Oryzias latipes: one gene and its partner. The protein of the gene in region 1 interacts with the protein of each later gene in a biochemical or structural test. Links are inferred from orthologs where the notes say so. Each region holds a gene or a part of one and is shown on either strand. Other genes may lie near its edges.

What was found.
Region 2: the proteins of rcc1 (region 1) and ranbp3 form a complex in vitro, tested with the Homo sapiens proteins (2 studies listed by BioGRID). The link is inferred for Oryzias latipes from reciprocal best matches to the Homo sapiens genes RCC1 and RANBP3.

Annotation. Positions count from the first base shown.
Region 1 is NC_019874.2:66,564-70,387, forward strand, and holds part of rcc1 (regulator of chromosome condensation), read right to left. Parts: intron 3,294-3,824; coding exon 3,197-3,293; intron 1,522-3,196; coding exon 1,399-1,521; intron 1,304-1,398; coding exon 1,163-1,303; intron 614-1,162; coding exon 494-613; intron 1-493. UniProt on the Homo sapiens protein: Guanine-nucleotide releasing factor that promotes the exchange of Ran-bound GDP by GTP, and thereby plays an important role in RAN-mediated functions in nuclear import and mitosis.
Region 2 is NC_019875.2:30,546,049-30,549,872, reverse strand, and holds part of ranbp3 (ran-binding protein 3), read right to left. Parts: intron 2,050-3,824; coding exon 1,984-2,049; intron 1,834-1,983; coding exon 1,741-1,833; intron 1,022-1,740; coding exon 912-1,021; intron 1-911. UniProt on the Homo sapiens protein: Acts as a cofactor for XPO1/CRM1-mediated nuclear export, perhaps as export complex scaffolding protein. Bound to XPO1/CRM1, stabilizes the XPO1/CRM1-cargo interaction. In the absence of Ran-bound GTP prevents binding of XPO1/CRM1 to the nuclear pore complex.

The DNA of each region.
Region 1 (3,824 bases):
CAGAGCTACCTACACTGGCATATTTCGTAGCATTTCACGATAGCAAGCTGAAAGGGTCATGCGCCGAGTTGACGAAAATTTCCCATCCCGACAGCATGAAGTTAAACTACTTCCACTTTCTTCCAAATTCGAATCTCGTGTAAAACTATTTAATTTTGTATGTTTTTTGCATCCAAATATTAAAATTTCATGACTTTACTAAAACTTTGCAGAATATTTTGTTTTTCACAAACTTTTCAAAGACCTAGCATTTTCAATTTCCAAAACTTTTCCAGGGTTTTCCAGGAATACTCAGAAATGCATGAATGGATGTACCGCTTGGGTTATATTTTGTTAAGAGTTAACATTATAATACCCCTAAAAGCTAAAAAATAAAGTTTATTTTGCATGATATAGGCTCTTTAAAAATATCTACTTCATCAAAAGCTTTTCAGAAGATAAAATGCTAAATTCTGTAGAATATCAAATACATTTGGATTCATGTGTTGTTTACCTTCAGAGTCAAGACACAGCGTATGATGTTGTCCTCCAGAAAAGTCCACCCAGGTAGTGGTGGAGTTCTTGAAGCACGTCAGTTTTACAGGAACAAAACACATCTTGGTGCTTTTGGTGCCTGGGCAAATAATTCAGAAATAATCAAATGAAACCTTGGAGTTCAACCAAATGTTCCCTGTTGCTTTTATAAGTTTGACAAGAATTAACAAGCATATTCCAGTTCACGCCATCACTACCGTATTTTCACGAACGCCGGGTGCACCAGGTGTTAAGGCCCGGGCACGTTCAGGCCCTCAGTGCCTCCAGAGTGGGTTAATAAAAGAACCAGTCTCTGTTCTTTTTGAGGAAACCTTTTTACTGTTCTCCCTAACTGTGTAACACAAACTGAATGCGCGCTCACAGACTCACTTGCGCGCCGCGCCTGACCCCCCTCCTTATTACTCCCGCTGGGCGCAGGAGCTGAGAACACACATTGGCTTGTGCTCAGCGCCTGACCCCCCTCCTTGTTATTCACGTGGGTGCGCAGAATGCTGGAGCTAGGGCTGGGCGATATGTTGTGGGGACCTGGGGCTTAGCCCCGCCCATGGCCACTAAGACTCATGGGAAGTGTTGATTCCCACACAGTGAGTTAAGGAGTTAAGGATAAACTCTTATGAGTCAAACTTACCCAGTTGGTGATAGTTTGAGAGGCCAAATCCATAAACGTGTCCTTCTTGTGACACAGCAAAGGTAAAGTAAGCTCCACAGAAAGCATCTATAAAGTGAACTTTCCCCTTCAGCTTCACCATCTGCGGCACCAGGAGTCGCTCTAAAAACCACAGCAAGGTAGAGTAAAAAAATGACATGGGTAAGATTTAACCACAATATTGTTTAGTGTTTTGCTGTTGTAACAACTTCACCTACCAAGACCTTTTCTACCACCTCTGTTTGAAAAATGCTCAGGCACTCTTCCCAGCTGCCCCTGCTCTGCACAGCCTGATGTGTAAAGATTCCCATCCCGTGTCACTAACACCAAGTGGTCGTTTCCTGTCAGAGCATCCGTGAAGACAACAAGGAGACAAACATCTGACAAAGACAGTTTGAACTAGTTTATAACAAGATGATGTACACTTAATGTTTTCATAGCAGTCACTTCTGCTTATATTTATTTGAATGTTCCATTTGTTTTGGTGTAAAGGGACTTGTGCTCAAATGCACTGACACAAAGTGAGCACTTTGGACAGCTCTACTTGCACTTTACAAAAAAAAATTCAAGGCGCAAGTGGTGTTGTACAGCCCACAGGCACTACCAGCCCTTGCCATCAGCCTCTATGTATCAACGCCGCAGGGGTATAGGCACCACCGCCGCTCTCACCACCCATCTTTGAAACGAACTTGCTTGCTTAGCAGTCACGACGCACATCTAACTCTCACTTGTCTTTCTGATAGGCTGTCTGAGCTGCATGTGGATAAAAGTGCTAGCAATACTATCAGCATCATCAACTGACTCAGAAAAACGCCTTACTTCAGATGCTAATACTGGTAAGAGCCACATGTGGTAAGTTGATAGAAAATCCACTTTCTTCAAAACGGCGGCTTTTCTGTTAGTTTTATCTTTATAGCAATCATTTTGTTTTGGTACCACACCCACATTACTTATATGTTTGTATCCAATGTTATATTAATTTGTTCAGTTCTAGTCATGGATACATGCATTAAATGTTCACAGTTTTCCATTTAAACATGTGCGAGTAATAAGAGAATGCCACTTTAGCTAGCTCACCACTCGCACACCGTTAAAAATGTACAACTTCTAATTGCAACATCTTTTCCATAACTGCTTTTAATTAAAGGTGGCGGCCTCTTCCCGAGGTCAAATGTTGACAAAACTCCACTACGCCAAATCTCCAATTTTGGCACAAAATGGCCAACAAACCATAGGTGTGTCGCCATTCCATAAGTATTTCATAACTATTTCATAACTTCTTTCATTGGATATCCCAGACAAAGGTATATTGGTTTCGTAAGTAGATTTCCATTTAGAAAGAAAATTTATTTAGCTGATTCAGCACAATTTTTTGCGACATTTTTTGTTTACCACACCCACTATTTTAACATTGTCATCTAGAATGTTGCATCGTTTTATTCAGCTTGGGCCAGGGAAATGCATATTGAATTTTTACGACACCCCAATAAGAAATGTGCGAGCTAGCTAAGATCGCAACAGTTGCAACTTGCCACGTACAACCATCCAAAATCTACAACCTCCAATTCTGACATTTTTCCACAGTGGCTTGCCATTGATGGCCGAGAAGTTACGAGACTATAGATAAAAATCCCTAGGACGCGTTTTCGTTTGTATCTGAAACTAAGTTTTTTTTTTTTTGAATGTGTGCAGATTTTGGTGAGTTTTTTTGTGTATGTGGTGGGGTCAAATTTTTCGCTCAAAGGCGCAGATAGAAAGCGGAATCATAAGTATTGCAGAAACAATCTACAAGTTTTTGCGGTTAGGACCGACTGTGTCTTTGTATTTTGTGTTTTACTACACACTGGTCATGTCTTTTGGGGCTTATTCCTTTCCTTTGAGTTTTTTAAACCATATAGTTTTTGTCAGTCGTTGCAAAAACAATATGGTCCTTGGAGTCCTTGACCGCTGTGGGCCATAATCAGCCTAGAATCTTTAAATAAAACTTCAAGCAAATTCCCGGGAGGTTTTACTCACCTGAGGCAATTTTTACAGCAGGTTCTGGGATGGGGATCTTCACTGGGACTGGGCATGTTTTCATGGGCTCCAGAAGACCAATTACACCATTATTATCCTATTAAAAAAACAGCACAGCTGAAAATTCACAAAAATTAATAACTGCAGAAAGAAGCCAATACCATACAACAGGGGTGTCAAACTCATTTTCACTGAGGGCCACATCAGCATAGTGGTTGTCCTCAAAGGGCCAGACATAACTTATACATGTAACTAAATGTAATGAAAAATAAACGCAACTCCTCCTTAATGTTAAATTACTCATTTCTTTATTATAACTTTTTAAAGTGACAATTACAGTTGCATAGAAAACATGTTTGCTTTTTAATCTAGCATAAATCCTTTTAAATCTGATCCTCTCAGGTTAGGTTTTATGGACAGTGTTTAAGTTCTAATGTACGGAGCCCGTGTCCTGACATTAAAAAATTAAAATATGTCTCGTTCCCACAGATCAATATCTTGCTCGCACAAAATAATATTCCGTTCCGACAAGATAATATTTCGTTCCCTCGAAATGATTAATTCGTGCGAACGAAATGACTCTGACAGCCAGCGTAATCTTAGGATATTTTTCTGATTTTCATCGAGA
Region 2 (3,824 bases), on another chromosome or scaffold:
GCAGTGAAAGTGGAGGAGTCCCACCAGCTGAGGAGTGAACCCCCTTAAGGAAGACGGCTCTGCAGGTTTTAGCTCTAAAGCCTTCCATGGATGACTCTATATTACTTTTTAAATCACGCTCTTCAGGCTGAATTCATGCTCAGCTGCCACCCTGGAGGCTGGAATTCAGGTCCAGGTGGACCAACCAGGAGGTGCAAGAAGGAGGAAACGAGGGCAAAGGCTAGAGAGAGGAGGATGCAGAGAGGGCGCCCCCTAAAGGGAGAAGCAGGAAGGGGAAAAAAACAAATTAAACCGTCTCCCCGTGGAGCGGTTTTATTTTCACTGAAACTTTACGTTTGTTTTTTTACAGGGCGCTGTGTTCTGCATCCTGATTGGCTTTAGACCTTGTCAATGGTCGTGTCTCCAGTGCAGAATGCGTCCACTTTGTTACATTTACAGACATTTTCCATCGGGATCAGATCTTTGTTTTCATTCTCTAATCCTGGACCTTTTTTTACTCTGTAGTTTGAGAGTTTAAATGAGAGAAAAGTGTGTAGATTTACAGCCTTAAAACATCTCTTCTTCACAGATTTCTCCTACTGCTGGTTCTTTTAGAACGTAACTCCCCCGATAATCTAATACTGTCATTCCAAATCTGTAAAAGTTACTTTTTGTTTCATGATTAAAGACATTTTGTAAAAACATAAACACGTCCTTCGTTCATGGTTATGGTGTCATCTGTTTCCGATGCATCGTAGCTGCTTTTCTCTTTTACGATTTTTCTGGGTGTGGTCAGAGCGAGCTTTGGACAACAGCGCCCCCCATTGAGCACCTGATTTGTGGGGGGGGTTAGTCAGCATTTATGCACATTTTAACAGAGACTGTCCCAGAGGAAGAGACCCAGACTAAACTGAACAGCAGTCATGTCTCACCAGTGACTTGGCCGATGGGGGTGAATGATCTTTGTTATTCAAGAAGAGCGACGGAGTCACAGACGCTCCATCTGATGTCTTTTTCACGCCATTGGTTCCACAACTGGAATCTAAAACCGTAGAAGGAATGTTAAAATGACCACCGTCGTTTTCACAGAGTCTGACCATCAATGAATGAAGTTTCTGCAGAGACTGAAATCCTTTAGCATGACTTTCTGCAACTTTGAGAACATCTTAACCATCTTTCACTACTTTTTAGAAAAGTTTCTGGTTTTTCCACTAAGAGACATTTTACTTATGACCTTTACAGATGTAGTAGATAGCCAAATACTTAGAAAATATTTGATTTAACACGGCACCAATCTATTCTTTACCGACACTTGAATAAAAACTTAATGAAACGTGACGATTTGGGGAAATATTTGAATGATTAAGTTAACGACAGGACATTTTTTAATAGAGCCTACATGAAATGTTCAGTAACCTGAAAGCCATTCATTAATAATTAGAAGATGTTTTTTTCTTGAGTCTTCACTCTTAAGCTGACTTCTAAAGCACTGTCATAACACGCGAGTGTCACAGGTCACAGGTTGTGAGGATAAACTCATTTTTAAATTCCTTGTATATTTTATTTGAACAAAAGGCCTGACTATCAGCGGTTATCATTAATTTATGAATAAGATTTTCTTTATCTACTACGGACAAGCTCTATATGCTGCACATTCTCAAACTCCCCTCAGAAATACAGTGCAGAGCTTCACCTGAACACTGAGTGTAGGCTAGAAGGGATTTTACTGTTTAATGCAGTCAAAGTGTAAAATGTACTCACTTGACTCTATATGTGATTTGGAGGGTGGAGCTTGGAGAACGGCGGGGCGGAGGACACTGCGTTGCTGTTCCTTGGGTTTCTGACTTGGGACGCCTATAACAGAGATTGGGATGTTTGGGATGTCTAAGTTCAATAAATACATAACCTAGCCCCTCCCCCTTTTTGCAGGATCTGTGTGACGTTTGTAAGTTGGAAGTCAAAGTACTTTCTATGCTAGTAAACACATGTAGAGCATGAGGTTACCTGAACTGGGGGCTTGTCCGTGTATTAGAGTCGGTGGCTTTAAGCGGAATCCCACAGGTTTCTCTTCTGGTGAGACAGCATGAGAGAAGAAAACAAATCAGGAGAAAAACTAGTGGAGAATAGCACAGTAACATATAATAGACATGTTCTTCCCCAACCACAGGTCCAGTTACCACAGCAACCTCAAGAGAGGCCGATGAGTTGTGTAGCAATCCAGTTCTTGTGCAATGGCATGGCAGCCTCTCTGGCGTCGGATCTATTTCTACTTTTGTCTTGCCAACTCTCTGGCTTTATTAGCTTGCATGACCTGCTCTAATCTGTGGCGAAGCAGAGAGCGCCACAGCAAAGGAAAAACAGTCAGGCCTGGTACAGGTCGGTGGTCAATAACGCTCCATCAGGTTAACGTGGAGTGTACATTCAGCTGGCAGGACACGGGCAGATAACGACCCCAAAGTGGTTTGTACTCAACACTTTTGTGGGAGCAACAAACATAATGTACTTTGCAAAACACAGAAATGTGGTAAATGCTGCGTTTCCCTTTTATGTGGTCACATTTGATCTGCCGCCGTCCAATAAATACCATCCTGCTGTTTATTCAGCTTTAAAAATTTGGCCTACATCCAACTCCCAAATGACCCGATTTTACTCCGGTTCCTCATCCTACCGGGCAGTTTGACGGTGCAAACACACAAATCCAACAACGTTTAGAAAGAAGCTCCCCAGAGCTGTAAAAAAAACGATTTACAGGAGGAATTGGTGCTGATCAGTGTGTCTGATCTGTTGATGTAAATCATTCAATCACGTGATCTTGTTGGTGTGTTTTTTCTCTGTACTTTTGTTTTTAAAGCAGTGAAATGTGACATGAATAATGTTGGATTTTACCAAAAGCACAGACTCTTCTGCAGGCAGACGTCTGTTCTGTTCATGCATGGAAAACCTCCTAAACTACAGTCTTGTTCTACAAATTACTCATCCTTAGGTTAAATATCAAGCCTGTTGGCTTTTAAATATTCTCTGTTCATATCAACTGGGGATGTAGGGAAAATCAATTTGGCGATATATTGCGATTTTTGTATCGATTTAAAATGCTGTCCAGACGACATTTATTTAATTATTGATGACCGTCCTTAAGCGTCTGGGATGGGTACCGAACCGAACCTCTGTGCCACGTTGTTGCCATATAAAAACGCAGGTTGTGGTGATTTTTAGAGGGCTCCAGATGAGAACAAGTCTCACATGTATCGCGATACGCATCGCCAGACTCGTCGATACCCACCCCTAATATCAACAAATGAATGAGTTGTCAAAAAGAATTACATTACATTTTCTCGCCTAACAGATTTTTTTTCTGTGTAATTTTATTTATTTATTTTTTCTGCGCCACGATTGGCTGTAGACCATGTCAATCAATCTCGGTGAGGTGTTTTCTGTTCAGAATCCGTGCAGTTTGCTGCATAAAAATAAATCTTCAATCATGATCACTTCTGTGTTTTTATTCTTTAAAACTGTTCGTATTCATCTGTGAAGGTTTGAACTTTGAGTTTAAACAAGAGAGAAATGTGTGAGAATGTCTGTCTGAGAAAAGTCTATAGTGTGTAGTGAGGAGTTTTACTGCCTTAAAACATATAGAATAATCCTACTTTGTGGATTTTGTTCATTACTGATTGCTGGACAATTTAAACATGTAGTTGTAGAGTTAGATAAGCTAATTCCACATGAAGGAGGATCCCTCCTTCATGTGGACACCCCTGAGGTTTCTCCTTTTTTCCAGAATCCGTTTATTTTTAGAAGTTTTTCTTTACAGAGAAGGAGGGTCTAAGGTCAGGGATGCTTAGTTTAGT